2 linked regions of the Diceros bicornis minor genome follow. The protein of the gene in region 2 interacts with the protein of the main gene of each other region in a pairwise test. Links are inferred from orthologs where the notes say so. Each region holds a gene or a part of one and is shown on either strand. Other genes may lie near its edges.

The links.
Region 1: the proteins of CDK5RAP3 (region 2) and TSPYL4 interact in binary tests that used the Homo sapiens proteins (3 or more experiments, as listed by UniProt). The two-hybrid records come from large-scale screens. The link is inferred for Diceros bicornis minor from reciprocal best matches to the Homo sapiens genes CDK5RAP3 and TSPYL4.

What each region holds. Positions count from the first base shown.
Region 1 is NC_080762.1:19,895,187-19,905,992, forward strand, and holds TSPYL4 (testis-specific Y-encoded-like protein 4), read left to right. Parts: upstream 1-5,327; 5' UTR 5,328-5,382; coding exon 5,383-6,624; 3' UTR 6,625-8,654; downstream 8,655-10,806.
Region 2 is NC_080757.1:38,081,615-38,092,846, reverse strand, and holds the start of CDK5RAP3 (CDK5 regulatory subunit-associated protein 3), read left to right. Parts: upstream 1-5,787; 5' UTR 5,788-5,790; coding exon 5,791-5,793; intron 5,794-7,702; exon of another isoform or gene 7,703-7,803; intron 7,804-8,288; exon of another isoform or gene 8,289-8,642; intron 8,643-8,987; exon of another isoform or gene 8,988-9,001; intron 9,002-11,232. UniProt on the Homo sapiens protein: Substrate adapter of E3 ligase complexes mediating ufmylation, the covalent attachment of the ubiquitin-like modifier UFM1 to substrate proteins, and which is involved in various processes, such as ribosome recycling and reticulophagy (also called ER-phagy).

The sequences.
Region 1 (10,806 bases), on a different chromosome or scaffold from region 2:
AATAAAAACTACCAAGTCAGCTTTCATTTGTTGAAAGTCTATTGGGACAAACACTTTTTACATATCTTATTTCATCTTCTCAACAGTCCTATAAATTAAATTTTCTTATATTCATTTTATATATGAGGAAATTGTGGCTGAGAGAAGTCAAGTGACCTGCTCAAATTGAACAGCTAATAAGTAGCACAATTGAGACTTGAAGCCAGATTTGTCTGATTCCAATGTATGTGTCTTTACCCAGTGTGTTAGTCAGGGGTCTCCAGAGAAATAGAGCCAATAGGAAGAGATTTATTATGAGGAATCAGCTTGGGTGATTATGGAGGCTGAGAAGTCCCATGATCTGCTGTCTTTAAGTTGGAGACCCAGGAAAGTTGGTGATGGTACAATTCCAGTCTGAGTCCCAAGGCCTGAGAAGAAGGGGAGCTGATAGTGCAAATACCAGTCCAAGGGCAGGAGAAGACCCATGTCCCAGCACAAGTACTCAGGCAGGATGCAAAAGGGGCAAATTCCTCCTTCCTCCACCTTTTTGTTCTATTCAAGCCCTCATGGATTGGATGATGCCCATTCACATTGAGGAGGGCAATCTACTTTCCTGAGTCCACCAATTCAAAAGCTAATTCCAAAAACACCCTCACAGGCATACCTAGAAATAATATTTAATCTGGGCACCCTTTGGCTCAAACTGACATATAACATTAACCATCACACCCAGCATACAAAGATATGAGGTCATTCAGGTCAGGGAACTTGTTTCTGATTTCCTTTATGATTGGGGAAAGTAAGGCTATATGACATTTTCTTGGCTAAGCATTATCACAGGGAGCCATCATAAGCAAACAAGCTTGTCTGAGAAAATTTTAATTGTGTAACAATGATAGCCTAAATATAAAAGATTGTGATTCAATTTTAATAATATAGAGAGCATCAAACATTTGTTGAAATGGCAGAACTACAGCAGAACTCATGCCATAGTTCTTCTAATGAATGTATGGTCTATAAAATTGCATAAACATTCTCTTCAGAGTACTTTAAACTTGACCACCAAAAGCAAACTAGAGTCAGATTATCTTCTTCAAGACCACTTCCTCCCTCTAGTGACCAGAAATGGGAATACCATATTCACAAGCATTTGAAAAACTGATTCTCAACGTGTATGTGTACCTCCCTCTAGAGAGTGTTTGGGAAATTTGCCAGAGTTATTTTGGTTATTACAATGAATGTGGGTGCTCTTGGCATTCCTTAGGGGCATTAGGAATGCTAGACATCTGGCAATGTGAGGGACAATGCCCCACATAAAACGATTATCCAGCGCTAAACATTCATGCAGATGAAAAATCTATTAGTATTAAAGCCTAGAACCCAGCACTATTTTACATATGAAAACAAAGGTTTTTTGCACTTTTTTTATACACTGCATTTTTGAAAGAAACTTCTTATTTCATCTACTCCAAATCACTGATTGCAAGATACATCATTACCTAACACTAAAAATGAAAACAATGTCAATTAAACTCCAACACAAAGCTTTTAATATGCAGAAATTTTATTTATCAACAACACAGTGAAAAGGCAACCTATGGAATGGGAGAAAATATGTGCAAACCATATATCTGAAAAGAGGTTAATCTCCAAAATATCTAAGGAACTAGTGATTCTATAGGCATAGCCGTCTAGCTACTTTATCATGTCATTTAGTGTAGGCATGCCCAAGCATTTACAAATTCGAATAGATATTTTAAGAATTATTTTATTTTTATTTCTCCTTAAATTACCACTAAGAAGTTATACTGATTTTTTTTTTAAATTGTGCATGATGGTATACTATTTTGAATTTCAAGAAAGAAAAAAGAAGTCATAAAACATTTATTATAAGAAGGAATGTTATATCTGATGGATTGAGAACTGTTGACTTAAGGCATTAAAGCGAAGGTCATGAATTCTTGTTTCTCCCTTTAGTAACTGGGCACTGCCCCAACAACTGTCACTATCTTTGTGGCTGGGGAGAGGGGAATAGGATGAAGAGGGGAATAGAGGAAAGAGAAAATTTAACATTAAATTGGGGTGGGTGGTCATATGGCCTTATTTCTAAGAAAGCACCTTCTCATTTTATATGTTGTGTAGGGTTGTAGAATCATATAATAAAGGAGTGCACAGGTTCTTGAGTCAGATTAAAACTGGGTTCAGATTGAGGCTCCTTCACTGCTGTGTGACCTTGGATAAGCGACTCAATTTCTCTTTGCTGCAGTTCCTTCTGAGGTAAAGTAAAATGGAGGTCATAATATTATCACCTCATAGGGTTGTGAGGATTAAATGAGATAACACATTTAAGTGTGTAGGTGTCTGGTGTATAGAAGACACTAAATAAATGTAAGCTATAATGAATATATAACCAGAAACCATATCATTCTGAAAAACAAACTTGCTATTCAAAAGAGTAACAATAGGTGATATTTCATAAATTTTTCAGTATTTACTGTACACTTTAGTAAAGTCACTCCTATTTGACTATATTAATTTATGTTTGAACTTCTGTTAAACTCCTTGTCCTGTAGCAAATGAAAATTACCTCTTAGATTTTCATGGCATTTTCTATGGATATTTTTCCATAGAACCATAACTTATTGATGTATATTTTTCTGTGTAGTGAGGTTTATTGCCAACTGCCAACAGAACAGGCTCTGTTGTATACAAAAAAATTCTATATTCCAATACGTAAAAAACATAAAATACGATTCATAGCTATAAAACATTTATCCACCCAACTCAAAATGAATACTTATACTACTCAAACTCATATTATTCGTTTCAGTAAAACTTTTTAAAATTGTCATTTAAATCAAATCATCAGGTTTCACTGAAATCTTCTATGAAAGAGTCACTGGGCTGGCTATACTACAGTAGATGCTAAGGAAGAAGAAGCCACTATACAGCCATCCTTGTCTAGCTGGGATGAGGAGACTGATCTGCATGAAACAACCAAGCAAGTTAAAGAGAGAAGATAGATAAGTACTAAATTGGATGGCAAGGATCATAAGAGCCACAGAAATTCAGAGGACTATCAGAACGGTAAGGTGGTTAAGGAAGGTTATACATAGAAGATGGGAGGAGGCAATCTGCCAATTAATGTATGTCCGACCATGAGTGAGTTAACTTCTCTGTGCTTCCTGGGTCCTTGTTTATGAAATTAATGCATTTAAAATGCCTAGTGCAATCAACATGATGTAGGCTTGAATGGACTTTTAAAAAATGGGAAGGCTGTTATTAGTAATCCTGTAAATGATTCCATTTACAGAAATAATCAAAGCTAGAGACAGGGATGTTTCAAGCAGTGGAAATATAAATCTTTTAAAAATTTTGGTATACACAAGGGAAAAAAAGTTCACAGATAGCAGCTTTATGTAATTTTCTAATTTTCTGTTGCAAATAGCAAACTCTTTTTTTCCTGTATGGCAAAGTAACTTTCATTCAGCATTTGCTTCTTCTCTGCATCTTGGCTCAGGTTAGAATCTAAGAGAATTCATCCTTCAACAGTGCCAAGATTCTTTAGAAAAAGAAACAAGGCAGAATAGTGTCAAAGAACAACTCCAAGTCACAAAATCACTTAATTATAGCACACTGTTTACTTTTTTACAAGGAGGATAAATCAATAGATTGATTTCATCCCACAAAGGCAAAAAACAGGATTTATTAAAAGAAAGAGGAAAGAGAAGAGAGAAAAAATGAATTCTGGGAAGAGTGAATCTTATTTGCACAATTTTTTATGGAATAACTGATTAGCTGGCAGCAGTCAATCTGGACAGTCAGTCCTTGAGTATGCTGACTAGAGGTACAAAAATATCTTAATTCTTTATGAATTCTCTGGAAAACCTTTGTGAACTAAACTATAAAGCTGTATGACAGACTGTTTCTCTGTAACGTCTGCCAGAGTCTTTCCATCAACACCTCATTCTTAGTTGGACCAGGTCTGCACATGTTCCCTCACTAGAAGTCTCAGTATACCTGATGCTTTTCTGTAAATCGTTTTTCCCTAAATCCTTACTTCTCACTGGATCCTCTTCTGAGCCCTTATTTGAAAGTGATCATAATCTGGGGGGCTCTGTACCGGAGTTTCTATTACAAAGAGTTATAATCAATCATTTTCTAATATGAATTTAAGACATTAGACAAAAACACACAAAATTTAAGTTTTCCCTCGTTCTTGCATTTTTGTAAGGATTAACATTAGTATTTTCACACCACAACAAACAACAGATAATAGTGACATCACTATCAAATGAATCGTATGAGTTGACTGACTTGAATAGAAAATAACTTTTTCTTACTTTTTAAGTAAATATTTTAATACTAACATTTTAAATGTTACTTAAAATATTTTAATTAAGACAATTAATAGCTCCAGTGCCTGCAAACAGTTGACTATTGCTTCTGTCCTGCAGTGAATTATCACAGAAGCAAATTCTGGCAAATATTTGCTGGCTTCATGCCCACAGGCATTATGAAGCAGGAACTCTTTTTAGATTAAGACTATAACCTGAGGTTAGGCAATATATAATGTGCATAATTTTAGAAATTAAAATCTCCTGAGATTACATATCTTCCAGTAATGCTTAAAGGCGAAATTTGCGCACTGCCGCGTGTGTGGGTCACCTCTGAGTAAGGAAAATACACTTTGCTATTTATATCATTTAAAAGTGACGAAGAAATATTGTCCAACTGCTTCGTAGGTGTTGGCCAAAGTATATAAACTTTAAAATCTCCACGGCAAATTGAAATAACCCTTTATTATGCCTTGCTAGGATGAGAGACGTTTCCCTCTCAGCTGCGCCTAATTTTTTAAATCATCACACAGCAACTTTTTACCTTTCTTAAAAATCAAACTCTGCTCATCTCTATTCTTTGGTAACACCCATGAATCCGTACATTAAAGAAAAACGGCATGTGGATTGTTGAATCCTCTTATAAATGGAAGCCCTATGAGCTGACTTGAATAGACAATAGCTAACCTCTCCTACTTTTTAAGTAAATATTTTAAGAGACAATAGCTTAGGTGCCTTAGAAATTCTTTCAGAGACTTAGAAATCCATATTAACACCGTTCTCACACGCTTGGGTTTGGTCTGCAAACATCAGTAAGCCAAACCTTCTCCAGGCTACGAAATCCACAGCATTCTGGAACTCGAAGACAAAGGAATACCCTTCACTGACCCGTGTAATCACAGGGCGCAGCGAGTTCTCGCGTGACGTTAAGACGCTACAGCCCTGACGTCACCGGTTACCATGGCAGCATCCTCCAGAGTGGAAAAGAGGGGTGGTGCGAGGGGCGGGGCGCGGCTTCTGCGGAGGACAAGGGAAGCTTTCCTCCTGCAGGTCTGACTTCTCCAAAATGAGCAGCCTGGATGAGGGCGGCAACCTCCCTGTCGCTGAAACCTGCGGCCTCGCTACTCCGGACCATGCCCCGGGACATCGGGACCTGAACCAGTGCGAGGGCGAGGAAACCGAGGCGACACAGGTGATGGCGGGCACAGGTGAGGGCGGCCTGGAGCCCACCGCGGAGGGAGGCGCTCCCCGGGACCCCGTGGGTTATGGCCCCGCGCTCCGCATTCGAGTTGCCTGCAGTCGCGGCCGTGCAGCGACCAAAGCGGGCCGGAAAGAGACCCCGCCTCCCACGGAGGGTCTGGAAGCAGCCTCTGCCTCCGCCTCGGGGGCAACCGACAATAGCCAGGAAAATGGCTGTCAGCGTAGAGAGCCGCGCGGCCCTGCTGGGGAGAAAGCTCTAGAAGCCTGTGGCGCAGGGGAATTGGGGTCTCAGATGATGCCTGGGGCGAAGGCCAAGGAAATGACAAAAAAGTGCGTCGTTTCAGCGGCTGCGGAAAAGGAGGGAGTAGCGGAGGAAGTGGTGGAGGAAAAGAAGGTGATACAGAAGGAAAAAAAGGTGGTAGGAGGAGTGAAAGAGGAGACACGGGCCAGGGCCCCGAAGATCAATAACTGCATGGACTCGCTGGAGGCCATCGATCAGGAGCTGTCAAATGTAAATGCCCAGGCTGACAGGGCCTTCCTTCAGCTGGAGCGCAAGTTTGGCCGCATGCGAAGGCTCCATATGCAGCGCAGAAGTTTCATTATCCAAAATATCCCCGGTTTCTGGGTCACCGCCTTTCGGAACCACCCCCAGCTGTCACCAATGATCAGTGGCCAAGATGAAGACATGATGAGGTACATGATCAATTTGGAGGTGGAGGAGCTTAAACAACCCAGAGCAGGCTGCAAATTCAAGTTCATCTTTCAGAGCAACCCCTACTTCCGAAATGAGGGGCTGGTCAAGGAATATGAGCGCAGATCCTCTGGCCGGGTGGTCTCTCTCGCCACCCCAATTCGCTGGCACCGGGGCCAAGACCCCCAGGCCCATATCCACAGGAACCGGGAAGGGAACACTATCCCCAGCTTCTTCAATTGGTTCTCAGACCACAGCCTCCTCGAATTCGACAGGATTGCCGAGATTATCAAAGCAGAACTGTGGCCCAATCCCCTGCAGTATTACCTGATGGGTGAAGGGCCCCGCAGAGGAATTCGAGACCCAGCAAGGCAGCCAGTGGAGAGCCCCAGGTCTTTCAGGTTCCAGTCCGGCTGACTCCTGCCCATGGGAGAATCTTGCACACGAGTTTCCTTGCCACCTCCTGTTGGACCTGTGCTTAGCCAACAGCATGCAGTCTTCTATCTGCTTTCTCTTCACACTGCGTTATTTGGTTCTTTGGTTCTTCTAAATCTTCAACAATCACTGCTGGCAAGATTGTCGCTTGTATGCTTATTCTCTTCTTCCTCTGGGCCTGCATGCTGTTCTGCATCGTGTTACATGTTCCAAGTGCCTGGCCTTCCACTGCCTCCATGCCAAGCACGTGATGCTGTAGATACGCGCTGCCTTCCTTGGCATGCCTTGGGCCCTGTCTGTGACCATGCTCTTCTCCCAGTTATTTAAGTGCTTATCGGCCACAAAGAAGCTTGATATATCTTTGCAAATAACTAGCTGGGCATCGTGCTTTATGCTGGCTGTCCTCCTGATACCAGTGTACTCTATGACAAGCTCTTTGAGTTTCACTGCTGCAAGATGAAGCTGATGTAGGTGATGCCAGCCATCAATCCAAACTGGACATTCCAGGCTACCACTAACTGGTTCTCAGCTGTCTTCCTGGGCTGGTGCCATCCACCCTGCTGATTATCTGGCAGAATAAGCAGGTGGCTGGTGGGTGGCTATTAGGCATGAATGAGGTAACAGATGAGAGGTGTTCTGTGTTCTCACTTTGGTCTTATTATGCCTTTGGTCACTCTGCATTGTGACCAGGTACTGGTGAGTATGAAGGCCTGTGCTATGGCCCACCCAAACCTGCTCTCAGCCTTCTGGATGAGCTTTGCACAGGCACCATGCCTGCCTCCTTAGGAACTATCTGTGGACTTAAGTTCCTAAGCAGCACATAGGGACACCACCGCCCCCCACCCCCCGCCCCAAACCCAATGGCTGTTAGGCAGGTTGGGCAGTCATATGTGACAGTGCCCAAAACAAGGCTGGTATGTGGGTCCTTTCTAGCAGTTGGCCTTTCTGAGCCCTAGCCAACAAACCACCTAGGCACCTTTGTTGGGCATCCCCCTCCTAAGCCCTCCTGCATCCATTCTGAACATGACAAAGTCGCCAGTGTGGAGGCACTGGGGAAGAGGTATTTCTGATCTGTGGAGCCTGTTATGGACCTGTCTCTGTCTGCCTCTCTCTGTCTTTGTCTCTTTCACCCTCTGCCTCCCTCCGTCCTTCCCCTGTTCTCTTTCCCTCCTCCCTCCCTCTGAAGCAGTTACAGCTCAGAAACAGAAAACAAAACTGGCAAAGCAGGCTTTTTGTTTAATTTGCTCTGTCCTTGATTGTGTCCAGAGGGAGAAAGCTACTGTATGATAGACACCAGATCTCTTACTGCCCTCATACCTCCACCCCACTTCCTTTAGCAAGGTCTAAACGTTTCAAAGGGAGATCTGTAGGTAATTGCTTAGTGATGGGAAGTGATTTTTTGGGGCCAACTTGGACAACCCCACCCTTTTTCCCTATCCATTCACCAAAACCTTCTGTGTGTTTCTTGAGCTTTAGTTTGAGAAGCTGGGAGGAGAGACAGAAGGGCCTCACAGTGATGGGTTCAAGACAGACCCAGAGCAGGTTTTGATCTAAAGCAACCAAAACTTAGTTTTACTCCACTTTTCTAAACATGGAAATTCTTTTTTGGGCCTTGGACCACTTAGAAATAACCCAAGACAGCATTTTGAGGGTCAACCCTGTCCTTTGTACTATTCAGTTACCACCCTGATGTGCCAGGGGCTTCCACCCTACTGCCTGGCCTTGGCTCTCAGTCTTCAGCTTCCCCATATCCTTCCCTGCTTCTGTCCTAACAAAGGAGGGAGCAGGCTGCAGTCTGCATTGTGGGAGATGCCAAGCCTTCCTCTTACGAGGTAAGGGGATGTGTGGAGTCTGGATTTCCAGGACAAGTTCCAGTAGGTGGGACAGCAGTGCTGTCAGGGCTCTCCTATTTATGGAGATGTATGGTCGTTATGACTATCCACCCTTATCCTTTCTCCTTTCTTTTTGAAGGCCTGAGCTCCCCGAGGGCAGCTCCACAGAGCAGTGTGTGTGTGGGGGGTCGGTGCTTTAGGCTGGGGAAACTGAAAGCCCAGAAACAAAAATGAGCTTGCTGTGGAGTGGGCTTGGAAAGGCAGACAGGAAAGACTGGAACCCTACAGGGTCTGGGGTGGGAGGGGAGACCCCTGAGGCTTTTCCCGGAAGAGGTGGGTTAACATTTCAAGAGGATGCTTGGAGGAGTTAGGTTTTCCTCCAGTTTTTCCTAACTCCTCGAATTCACCAGTAGATTTTTGTACACAAAAGTGCAAGTCTGGATGTTTTCTTTCTATTATATGTGGAAGATTAATGGTATATGTCCTTATTTCACTGTGTTTAAGTAAAATCCTTTTAATTCCTTTCTCCTTTTTTGCTTGCTGGCAAGATTGACATTTACAGGCCTGCTTTTTGCTTGTAATTGAGAATGTGTGCAAAAATATCAAACTTGTTTCCTGTGCAGTGTGAAGACTTCTGCGAACATTCAATAATATATCAGCTTGTTCCGGTCTCTCTTCATATATAGCTCTATTCTTAGAAATATAATTTGAATGTGATCTTTGAAATTTTGCAAATTGTTGCTGTCTCATGAAAGAAATCTCAAAAACATAACTGTTGTCTTACTTGATATTTCTTGCTCTAGCAGTAATGTTGTACTTGACATTTTATGTTCCCAACCAGTGTAAGTACTTGTAGAATTGTTCTGTAGAATTGCTCTGGCAGACTAAACAAGGATTATTAGTGCTTTAGTCTTCTCCTGTGTGCGAAGGAAAAGTAAAATCTGTCACTCTGCTGTATTTCTTGTTTTGACCAAAAAATAAAAATAAAGTTCTGTCTGTGTTGTTTAGGCTAATAAAAGGTGGAGAAATCATTAAAGTTATCAAATTGTGACAGTAAGCATCATCCTGAAGCTTAAAAAAAGGAACAGCCACCAAACCTCCAAAATTTTTTGCTTGGATAGTGGTAAATAAGCCCAACTAAAATTGCATCCTCATGAACATAATTTTTAATTAAAGCACCATATATTGATTTTTGTCACTTACCTGTTTTCAGTGGAAAACTATTCATGCACCATCCTTGTTTACTCCATTTATGTTAACTATGTCCCCTGTTGGTCTCATTCTTAGTGAGCCTAAGATAGACTGTTGGAAAATTAATCATTGTGCATTCTGTAAGTGCTACTTAAATTCTTTTCCTACAACAGTGTAGTGCTTTTTTACAAAAAATATGACTGAAATGTCTAGAAATAAATGATATCAGACATCACAACTTTAATTACCAGTATGTTCTGCTATTCAGCAGCTATTACACGAAGGTTTGGGAGATAAATACTTCTGCATTCTCTGCAGTGGAGAGGGCTATGGATGCGGCAAGAGCTGTGAAACTGAATGACCAACTTTTTTTAACCATTTAACAAAAATTTGATATAATGGCCCAAAATTACTGATTTGAGGTAGAGATTGTTAAATATAGGTAGACTTGCTGACTCGTGGTGCAGTTCTTACTTGCAAGTTCTACTTGCTGAAGTATAATTTTTCTAGGCCTGGAAAACATTAAGTATTAGAGAGCTAGGTTTTCTTGTGCAAGCTCTAGAACCATCGTAATCCCAAATTTCCCATACAATGTTCATTTTACCTTTTCAACTTAGTGATTGATTTCTGCATTGTCAACAACCTGTTTCAAGCATTCTCTCTTTTATCCTGTTCTCGACACAATCAGAAAATGTCATTTTTGTTGCCCTCGGTTTATTATCAGCTTTAGTCTAACCAATAGTATTAATTTTTCTAGTAAGCTGGTGCCACTCATTTGTTACAGATTATCACGGTTTCTGTTCTGCTTAGTCTAATAAAATTAGACTCCATTAGGCATTTTCTAGGTTTCACTTACCTACCAATCGGTTCACTGCTATAGCCCTGTTCCATTTCTTTGCATTGCCTTTTTGTCTTCCTCAATTCTAGACCCAAATTACTCTTTATGCAGACCTACAAACCAGTTGAGAGGTTCTCTTATCCTCTGTTCACCAAAGAAGTATTATCATTTTGGTCTGCTCAAGCCATATTGTCCTGTGAGTAGTCGTGACATCATCACTTCCCTGGTCCCCACATAACAGAATCTCCTTGGGCATCCTTTGCCATTTATGGGTGTTCAGCTCAAGCCAGACACCCCCCACAG
Region 2 (11,232 bases):
GCCCCGATTGGCACACGTTCCAAGACCCTCACCCACTCCTGGACCCAACATTCCAAAACCACTGACCACCACAACTTTAGTGCAGTTGCTCCCCCTCGAGCCTGTCCGCCCCTCCCCTTGGGAGTGTGCTTTCACTTTGCTAATAAATCTTCCTCTGTTAAAACTGCTATGTGTCCACTCTCAAATTCTTTTGGGTCTGTGGACCAAGAACCTGGGACCCCACCGCACCAATCCGACTGGTGCCAGCAACAATACAATATCACAACTTGGATATCAACATTGATACACTCAAGAGACAGAACATTTTCACCACCACAAGATCCTTCATGATGCCCTTTTAGAGCCACACTCACTTCCTTCCAGACCCCACCCCCTCCTTAACCCCAGGGGGTTACCCACTAATCCATTCTCTGTCAATTTTTGCTTCATATATTTTGGGATCTGTGTTATTAGGTGTGTATATGTTTATAATTGTTACTGAAACTTTTATCAATGTATAACATCCTTCTTTGTCTTTTGTAGCCTTCTAAAAAAATTTAAAGTCTACTTCGTCTGACAATAATATAGCCACCCAGCTCTGTTTTGGTTACTATTTGCATGGAATATCTTTTCTATCCTTTCACCTCACCCTCTTCACGTCCTTATATCTAAAGTGACTCTCTTGTAGACAACATATAGATGGATCATTTTTTTTCACTCTCTTTGCCAATCTCTGTCTTTTAATTGGTGTATTTAGATCATTTAGACCATTTCCTGTGTTCTATAAATTTCTCTCTCAACACTGCTTCATCCTATAAATTTTGATATGTTGTCTTTTTGTTTTCATTTAGTTCAATGTATTTTTAATATTTCTTTGAGACTTCCTCTTTGATATATGGATTATTTAGACATGTGTTGTTTAGTTTCCAAGTGTTTGGAGATTTTCCTGTTATCTTTCTGTTATTGATTTGTAGTTTGAGTCCACTGTGATCGGAGAACACATTCTATATGATTTAAATTCTTTTAAAACTGTTGAGTTTGTTTTATGACTCAGGATGTGGTCTATCTTGGTACATGTTTTGTGGGCACTTGAAAAGAATGTGCATTCTGCTGTTGTCAAGTGGAGTGTTCTATAAATGTCAATTAGAACCTGTTGTTGATTGTTTTGTTAAGTTCTCCTGTATACTTGCTGATTTTCTGTGTAGTCATTCTATCAATTGTTGAGAGAGGGATGTTGAAGTCTCCAATATAATTGTGGATTTGTCTATATCTTTTTTCAGTTATATCAGTTTTTGATTCACATATTTTATACTCTGTTTTTTGGTACATCCACATTCAGGGTTGTTATGTTTTCTTGGTAGATTGACCCTTTCATTATTTCTGTTTTTGGTAATTTTTTTTTGTTTTGAAGTCCACTTTATATGATATTAATATAGCCACTGCTGCTTTCTTTTGATATTTGCATGATATATCTTTTTCCATCCTTTCACTTTCAATCTGCCTATAGTATTACATTTGAGGTATGTTTCTTGTAGACAGCATATAGTTGGATCATATTTTTTTATCCACTCTGCCAATCTCTGTCTTTTAATTGGTATATTTATACCATTTACATTTAATGTAATTACTGATACATTATGGATTAAGTCTACCATTTTATTTTTTGTTTTAAGATTGTTCTCTCTGTTTCTCATTTCTCTGCTTTCTTTTTCCTGCCTTCTTGTAGGCTACTTAAACATTTGTTAGAATTCCATTTTGATTTATCCATAGTGTTTTTGAGTATCTCTCTCTATGGTTTATTTTAGCAGTTATTCTAGTTATTACATTATATATTATGTATATCTTATCATAGTCTACTAATGTTGTCATTTTGCCAGTTAGACTGAAATGTAGAAAACTTACCTCCCTTTATGTCCCTTTACCCTCCCCAATTTTAGTATCATCTTAAATATTTTCTCTATATACATTTAGAACCACATCAGACAGTATTATAATTTTTGTTTCAACCATCAAACATAATATAGAAAACTCAAGAGGAGAAGGAAAGCTTATTGAATTTACTCATATTATGATTATCATGTACTTCCTCCCTTCCTGATGTTCCAAGATTCCTTCTTTTGTAGTTTTCTTTCTGTTTAGAAAACTTCCTTTAGTCATTTTTTTAAGGGTAAGTCTGCTGGTAACAAATTCTCTATTTTCCTTCATCTGAAAATATCTTGATTTACCCTTCATTCTTGAAGGATGTTTTTACTGAACATAGGATTCTGGGATGACAGTTCTTTTCTTTCAGCACTTGGAAAATATGCCATTTCCTTCTGGCCTGCATGGTTCCCGATGAGAAATCCACTGCCATTTGAATCGTTTTTCCCCTATAGGAAAGATGTTATTTCTTTCTCATTACTTTTAAGATTTTTTTCTTTGTCTAGTTTTCAGAAGTTTGACTGTGATACGTCTTTGTGTGGATTTCTTTGATTTTTCCTAATTATAGTTCACTCAGCTTCTTGAATCTATAGGTTTATGTCTTTTGTCAAATTTGGGACACTTTCAGCCATTAATTCTTTGAGTACTTTTTCGACTCTGTCCTCTTTCTTCTCTCCTTCTGGGACTTAGATGATAGGAGTGTTAGATCTTTTGTTATAGTCCTACAGGTCCCTGAGGCTCTATTCATTTTTGTTTTCAGTCTATTTTCTCTCTGTTGTTCATTTGGGTAATTTCTATTTTTCTATCTTCCAGCTCACTGATTTTTTCCTCTATCTCTTCCATTTTGCTGTTGAATGCATCCATTAAGGTTTTTTATTTCTGTTATTATATTTCTCAGTTCTAAAATGTCCATCTGGTTCTTCTTTATGTCTTCTGTTTCTTTGCTGAAATTTTCTATGTCTTTGACGAGGCTTCCTATTTTTTCATTTGTTTTGAGCATGTTTATTGAAGCATTTTTATCATGACTGCCTTAAGATCTTTGTCAGATGGTGTTAATGTGCCTGTCATCTGTGTTGGCACCTACTGATTTTCTTTTTTCATTCAGTTAGAGAACTTCCTGGTTCTTGACACGACAAGTGACTGTCTACTGAAATCTGTACGTTTTGGGTATTGTGTTATGATACTCTGGGTCTTATTTAAACCTTCTGTTTTTAGCTGGCTTCCTCTGACACTGCTCAGACAAGGAAAGGGTTGGCACCCCTCCTTACTGTCAGGTGAAGGTGGAAGTCCAGGTTCTCCACATCATCTCCGCTGACACGGTGGTGGTTCTGGAGGACTACTCTCAGTGGGCATGAACATCCTGATTCCTTATTCAGCCTTTCCTTGACATTACTCCAGTGGCTTGAGAGGAGGGAAAGTCAGTTACCTCCTTACAGCCTGGCAAAGATGGATCTAGATTCCTCACTTGGTTTTTGCTGGCATGTGTGGGGATTAGGCCACAGATATTTTTGGTAGTGTTTGGCTGTAGTAAAGGGACTATTCTCTGAAAAGTTTTCTATATTGCTAAGCTGCCCATTTCCTTATCCTTTAGCTAGAGAGAGCAGGCTTCCATAGGGTTTTTGTTTGTTTGTTTGTTTGTTTGTTTGTGTCTGTTGGTGTTTCCAGGTTGCTGGCTTCTCCAGAACCCAGTCTGGGATATACGGGGCAAAAAGAAAACCCAGAGAACTGACCAATGTGTCATTTTTCAGGTCACAAGGTCCCTATTCTTTTCTCCACCTTTCAGAATCTTCTTATGTTGTTTTATGTATAAGATCCAGGGTTAGTTGTATTTAGCAAGATGAATAGAGAAAATTATGTCTACTCCATCTAGACCATCTGGAAACCATCTACTCCATCTGGAAACCGAACCATCCCCAATAATATATATATATATATATACACATTTTTTTTTGCTGAGGAAGATTCTCCCTGAGCCAATCTTCCTCTATTTTGTATGTGGGTCACCACCACAGCATGGCTGCTGATGAGTGGTGTAGGTCTGCACCTGGGAACTGAACCCAGGCTGCCAAAGCAGAGCACACCAAACTTAACCACTAGGCCATGGGCCCAGCCCCAATAATATACTTTTAATTATTGCAGTTTTATATTATGTTTTGACATTTGGTAGCAACCCCTCCCTTATTAATTTCTTTTTTTTTAATTGTATTGGTTATACTCATGACTTACCTTCCAGATTAACTTTAGACTCAGCACTTCAAATTCCCTTTAAAAAATCCCATTGGGTTTTTGATTGGGATTATATTAAATTTATAAATTAATTAGAGGGAGGTATCTACTGTATTAGAATATTAAGTCATTCCATCTAAGACCAAGATCTCTTTACTTTTTTTTCATGCTGTATGTCATGTCCTTCATTGAAGATTCATAGTTTTCTTGAACACTTCTCGTTAAATTTATTCTGACAGTTACAGGGTTTTTAAAACTGTAAATGTGATATTATTAACTAGCACTTTCTATTGGTAAGAGTCATTGGTTTCTATATATTTATCTTGTATCTGGCCACTGTACTTAATCTTTTCATTAATTCCTTCAGTGGCTATTTTTTTTTTTTTTTCTGTACTAAGCATCTGCTTCCCCCACATTTCTTCTGGTAACAATTACAGGAGTGCATATATAATCCAGTACAAGTCAATCACAGCACCTCATGCTCCTAGATGAAAGGTGGGCACATGACCCAAGACAAACCAGTCAAGACCCTTCCTAGGATTTTTATGGGTGATTTGACAGGGAAGAGGTTTGTTTCTTCTCTGGTCATGGAGTTGTCAGATACAATCCTAGGTACTACTGGTAGCCAATTTTCTCTAATTGCATAGGGAAGCTATTCTAATTTGGAAGATAATGAAGCTGAAACAGAGTATGAAACCAAAACAATTGAGAGAGAGAGAGAGAGAAAGAGAGAGAGCACGCAATATTTGTTCCTTGTTTACAATATACCCCTGCCTTTCCTATCCCATGAGCCAATAAGCCCCCTCTTCTTTAAATTACTTTGAGTGAGGTGGATTTATTTACAACTAAAAGAATCTTGACTGTACAGAACTGGTATCAGGAGTGGGATGTTGTAAGAAACAGAATTTAAAAGGTGAACCTGGCCAGGTGGTGTGGAAAGCAGTGAGAAACCATTCTTTGCAATTTGGGAAGATAATTATCCTCATGGAAATGGATCAGCTGGATTAACCATCTCCTGTTGTACTTTAGAGCTCAGACTGTGTGCCTAATGGCGTTGTAATTATTGGGGATTTGATAGAAAAATGTTAGATATTGAATGTGATATACTACTTGTGATCTTCAGTATGGTGCTACAAGATAACAAAAATCTTTCTTTTAAACTGGACCATAAAAAGAGATTGGATAATTAGCTTTGTTAAGAAAGATCTAGTCTGTTTGTAACCAATGACCTAAGACCACTGAGAGACAATTGTGTGCTACATGTAATTGTAAAAGCTGAATTTAATTTTCTATGCTAAAGTTAGGAGGAGTCAGAGGAAACAATCCATTATAATCATAATCTGTTTGTTTGTTTGTTTTCCATCTCTCTATTCTTCCTCAGGGTTGGATAATTCCCCTCATAGTCCCAAAGCCCTCATGACTGACGGCAGCTCCTGGGGCTACAAGCTTCCTTGTTCAATATCATCAGGAGAAACAAGACCATGCCCCAACATTTTCAGTGAGTCCCATGATTCACTCTGATTGGGCTGCCATAGATCTGGAGCCCATCCCTGAACAATCATTTTGGCTAGGGAGACAGGAACATACTGACTGGCACACCCCTAGATTTGGGGATAGAAAACAATCCCAGATTAAATCTCTTGGCTGAGAATGGGAGGGGGAAAGATGGTTTCCCAAAGGAAATTCAAGGTCTCGGTCCCAGAAAGGATGGTGGGCAAAGAACCCCAGATATCCATATACCAAGGAAGAATCTTAACCTAAGGCCTAGATGGACAGTCAGAGCCCCCAAGCCTGTTGCTAAGAGACAAACCACAAAAGCCAGGTTCAGAATCAGGTTTCATGACTGGGCAAGATTTCCAGCATTGGTTACTTGCACATGGCATCCCTAGGAATGGAAATGGCAGACAGCCAACTAGGATTTAAGGCAGTTGTGTCACCAGAGAAATCCCAAGCCTGGCAAACACGGGCCTCCGATTGCTCAACTCTGAGATAATTCCAACTCTAACTATGCCAGTGGGAAGTGGGGCACTTGAGCAGGACACCTCCCAAGAGGGGACTTCCCTTTAAATTCCTCTTGGGTCTGGCCATGGACGAGATAAATCCAGGCAGTGGCCAAAATCAGGGGCAATCAGACTTGCTAAGACACACCTGATTTCACTGCCAAGGAAGTGAGTCCTTGTAGGTCCTGCCTTCTGCCTGTGGTATTTTCCAGACTGTGGACCACTGTCTGGTATTTTCCCTTGTCCACTTTCTTTTAAAAAATATACTTAAAATTTTTTTTACAAAAATAATAAGTACTCATTTTTATAACACCAAATAATATAAAAAGTTATAAAATGAAACTTTAGTCTGTTCCTAGACCCTCCCCTATTGGATCCACTCCTCCCCCCTGGAGGGTTACACTATTAAGAGTTAGGTACGCATCCTTCAGAGGTTGTCCTATGTATGTACCTACAAGTACAAACATACATCTAAACTGTGCAAGACAGTCAAATTGAAAAATTAAAGTCTTCCTCCATCAATCTGACGCCCATCCCCCAGAAGTAATCATTTTCAACCATTTCTCTTTTTAGCCTTCCTGACAATACTTCCATAATGCCAGAAAATATGCTAATATCTCTAATTCATCGTTTCAACAATATCTCCTGACTCGCTGCAATGAAAGATAACGAGTTTAGCTTGCTTTCACTGCGTCCCTTCTTTCCCTAATCCCTGCCAGTCACATATTTACTTACCCTTTCTATTATTTAATTTTAGGACTTTAAATAACATATTTAAACATCTATTTCCTGACTTCTCTTCAGATTGTTGCCTGTACAAAAAGGACTTTATTTTATTCTCGTACCTGATTGCTATTTTGGCTGGGTATAATCTCCCATCAACATCAGTTAGGATTAAGTACAGTGTAAATAAGGGACCCAAAACAGCAGTGGCTCGAAGTTGAAGTTTATTTTCTTTCTCATGTAGAAGATTGCAGGGGACTGGGCTCCTTCCAGTTTTCTACTCTGCCACACTTAGGATGTGGTCCTTGTCTTCACGGCCCAAGATGGTGGCCTCATATTGGCTTCCAGGCAGCAGGACGGATGGAGGAAGGTGCAAAGAAGGAAGGGACAGTCACATGGCCACACTTAGCTTTAAGGGAGGCTGGAAATGTAGCCTTGCTTTTGGATGGCTACGTGCCCAGCCAAAGACCCAAGGTTCTATTACTAAGGAAGAATGGGGGACAGACGCTGGGGACACTAGCAGTCTTGCCACTCCCTCTGCCCTTTGCAGGCTTGCTCACCTTCTTCTTGTCGGGATTGTCGGTGAGACATCTGATGACAATCTGATTTTCATTTCTTTGTACGTAATCTGTTCTTTCCCCTGGAAGATTTCACATGAGAGAGAATTACATGTGCAGAAACCTTGGGGCCCGAGAATACAAATCATTTGCTCACAGTGCTGTGACTTGAGATTGTCCTTTTCTGACTCCTTCCTTCCTGTGCCCTCTGCGTTCACCCACTCAACCAATGTGGGTGCTCTCCAGCTGTGTACCTTCGGCCTTCCTCTCACTCTCCCTGAGTGACAGCATCCTCCCATGGCTTTGGCTGCCGCCCACGGGGTTGAATTCCAAATTTATCTCCACAGCTTACATCTCTTTCTCAACCTCGAGATCCAAAACAATCCAGTCATCTACTGGTATCACCACCTGACTGACCCACAGGCTGCCCGAGCTCCTCACGTGCCAGTCTGAGCTCTCCAGTTCCTCTCACCTCACTGCACAGCAATTCGCCCCTTTGCCCAAGGCAGAAACCCACAATTTCTGACCGGTCTACACCTCTATATGTTGCTTCCTCTCCCTGAACTTCCCTCTTCCTTTCTTCCCTTGATTAATTCTCATTCATCTTTCATAACTCTGTTGAGGGGTAACGTTTTTGGCAAAGTGTTTCCTGGTTTGGTTCTGCCTCAGTCTGGGTTGGGTGGCCCTCTCTTGGGTTCCCAAGCTAGCTGGAGAGTCCCCGTATCCCATCACCACTGCGACACTTTCTGATCTTCTGCACCCTCGTCTGGACTGTGAGCTATTTGATGGTAGAGATGGGGTCTTATCTCTGAATCCCCAGCATCTGGTAGAGCATTTGGCACATAGAAGTGGCAGCTTCAGAGCTTGCTGCGCCGTTCCCCAGTCACAGCCTCCGTGCCTTGCTCTACTCCAGCGCGGCAAAAATCTCCAGCCCTACAGAGACTGCGGTGCAAGTCTCTGATTACTGTTTTCCAGAGATATGCTGCAAAGGACAGGAACAGCAGCAAACTCTCCAAGACCGAGTTCCCAGCCTTCGTGAACAGAGAACTGGCTGCCTTCACAAAGAACCAGAAGGACCCTGGTGTCCTTGACTGCGGGATGAAGAAACTGGACCTCAACTGTGATGGGCGGCTAGATCTCCAAGAATTTCTTAATCATATTGGGGGCTTGGCCACAGCTTGCCATGAATCCTTTATCAAGTCTACTTATTCCCAGAGTAAATCTCAGGAGCCCTTGGGCCTGGCCTCCATACCCGCCCACCTCTTTTCCTTCCAGCCTCCCAACCATCATCTACTCCTCACAGCCCACACATACCCTGAGCCCAGCACACCCGCCACCCCATGCCAGCCACTCCTGCTGCTGTTAATAAAACAATATCGTTTTTTAACACACACACACACACACACACACACACACACACACACACAAAAGGGGCAGCTTCCATTTTTTGCTGTCCAGCTCATTTCCCATACACCTCCTGATAACTGCAACCCCGTTTCTTTGGGGGACTTCCTCCTTCACTCCACGTGGTCCTGAGGAGCTGGGAATTGGGGTGCTCTCTCTGCTTCTGCCTCCTCTACAGATATGGACATGTGATCCAGGCTGGATTAATCACAGTCTACCATGTCATTAATCACAGTGATTAGACCAACGAGTATCAGTGACCAAGAAGGACCAATCAGACTCTTCCTTGGGATTAACATATAGACATGGGAGGGAGGGCCTCTCCACGCTGGGATTGCTAGTTGAGAGGATATGTTGGGATTGCTAGTTGAGATGGTATGTTTGGATTGCTAGTTGAGAGGATATGTTGGGAGTGCTTGCTGAGATGAGGCACAGAGCTGTGGGTGGCTATCTCCCCTCCACGTGAAGGAAGTCTCTCTGCAGAACAGAGACAAGCGGAGATAAAACATGGGCAGAGAGGGAATTCTGGTGGCCTTGAGTCCCGAGTTCCAGTTCTCTTGGCTCCTATTGTTCTTCCTTCACTCCTTTAGGCTCTCACAGTCCCTCCCCAGGTGCATGAACCAACAAATTCTCTTTCTGTTTAAGTTGGTTTGAGTGGGGGCCGGCCCCGTGGCTTAGTGGTTAAGTGCGTGCACTCCGCTGTTGGCGGCCCGGGTTCGGATCCCGGGCACGCACCTACGCACCACTTCTCCAGCCATGCTGAGGCCGTGTCCCACATACAGCAACCAGAAGGATGTGCAACTATGACATACAACTGTCTACTGGGGCTTTGGGGGAAAAAAATAAATAAAATTATAAGTCAGTTTGAGCGGGTTTCTACCTCTGTAACTGAAAGAGTTCTGACTAACGGAGAACTCTGTAAAGTTTAATGACAACATTAAGAAACTAAGTGAGCCATCTCCAGTGCCTCTCTTCCCCTCGCTCCCTCTGAGCACGGCAAGATGCCTCACCTATGCTCTTTGGAGAGGTTGATACCATCGCTTGCTTTCACTTATGGTGTCAAGTCTGAACTCTTCAGTTTGGCAAGTGAGACCTTTCTGATCTGATCCCAACTTTCCCAGCCAATCTCCTGCCCTCTTCCCAGGCAGCCTCTGTGTCAGCCAGATAAATGCTCACATTTCTCTGAATTTGTCCTGTTCTTTCGGACTGCTGCATCTCTGCACGAGCCTCAACCTGGAATGCTCTTCTCCCTCCCACCCCTCCATGAATCCCAATCCACCCTCCAAGACCAATCCCAAGTGGCACCTCCTTCAAAGCCTTCCTGCCCTACCCAAGCAGAGTCTAGCCTCCTTTTCTGCAACATCACCTCTGTTGTACACTGAGTGCCCATCACACTGAACTGCAATTATGGTTGACTCATCTGTCCTTCCTCTACTAGACAGGGTTCCCTAAAGGCAGAGAGCTGCTCTTTATCCACCTCTGTATCCCCGTCTCCCAACACCCACAGCAGAGTGTTAACGAACACGTGGTGAGTGAGTGGAGGTTTTAGGAACAGGCTTCATTTCCTCATCTGTAAAAGGGTAGAAAAGGAGTTCTTCTGACCGACACTCCCCCAGGTTTCAGGTTTCAGAAGAGAGGCAAGTCTTGTGACCCTCGCCAGGACACTCCTCCATGCAGAGAGGTGGAGAGTGGGAAGGCAGTGTGGATGCCACCTGACTGGCCTGTGTCTACACTGGCTTCTAGTTGTTAGTGATGGGAGAACTTAGAGAATTGCCTTAGGGAACTCTGACTCTCCCTGAGATTCTCAGAGCTTTGAGTAGCCCTGCCCCCCTCTCACTTTCCACCGCACAAAAGTGATAGAAAGAACCAATAAGGTAAAAAAAAAGGGGGGGGGGTTCTTAGAAATCTCCTGACCCTCTATTCATGTGGCAGGACAGATTCATCCCCGGGAGGTGTGGGGCGAGCTTTGGGGGAGTCAGAGAAGGGGCTGGGGGAGGTTCTCTCTGTTGCTTGCACGCACATCCTCTGGCAGTGCCTCTGTGTTGTTTATGAGGTTTCCCACACCAGTGAGAGGCGACACGGTGGAGGGTCTGGAATCCAGATTGGCTGTGTGAGTTATTTGTAAAGTACATAATAAGTGCTATGCAAATACTTGTTTAGACTATATTAGGGTTTCATGTGTTGAAAGCCAGTCTTGGGATCCCAGAACCCTTTTCATCCTTAATAAAGGGACCCCTCAAGGAGCCTGTGAGGGGACTAGGTGTGGTGGTGGTGGAAAGGGTCATGGAGGATGTAAAAGACACAGTGAAATTCCTCAAGTATCCACAAGAGGGCACTTCATAATGGAGAGCCTTACCGGCCTCATTGCCTTGTTTGCTTCCACTTGGGTTTCTGTATGAAAGCAAGTCAATCAGAATCAGACC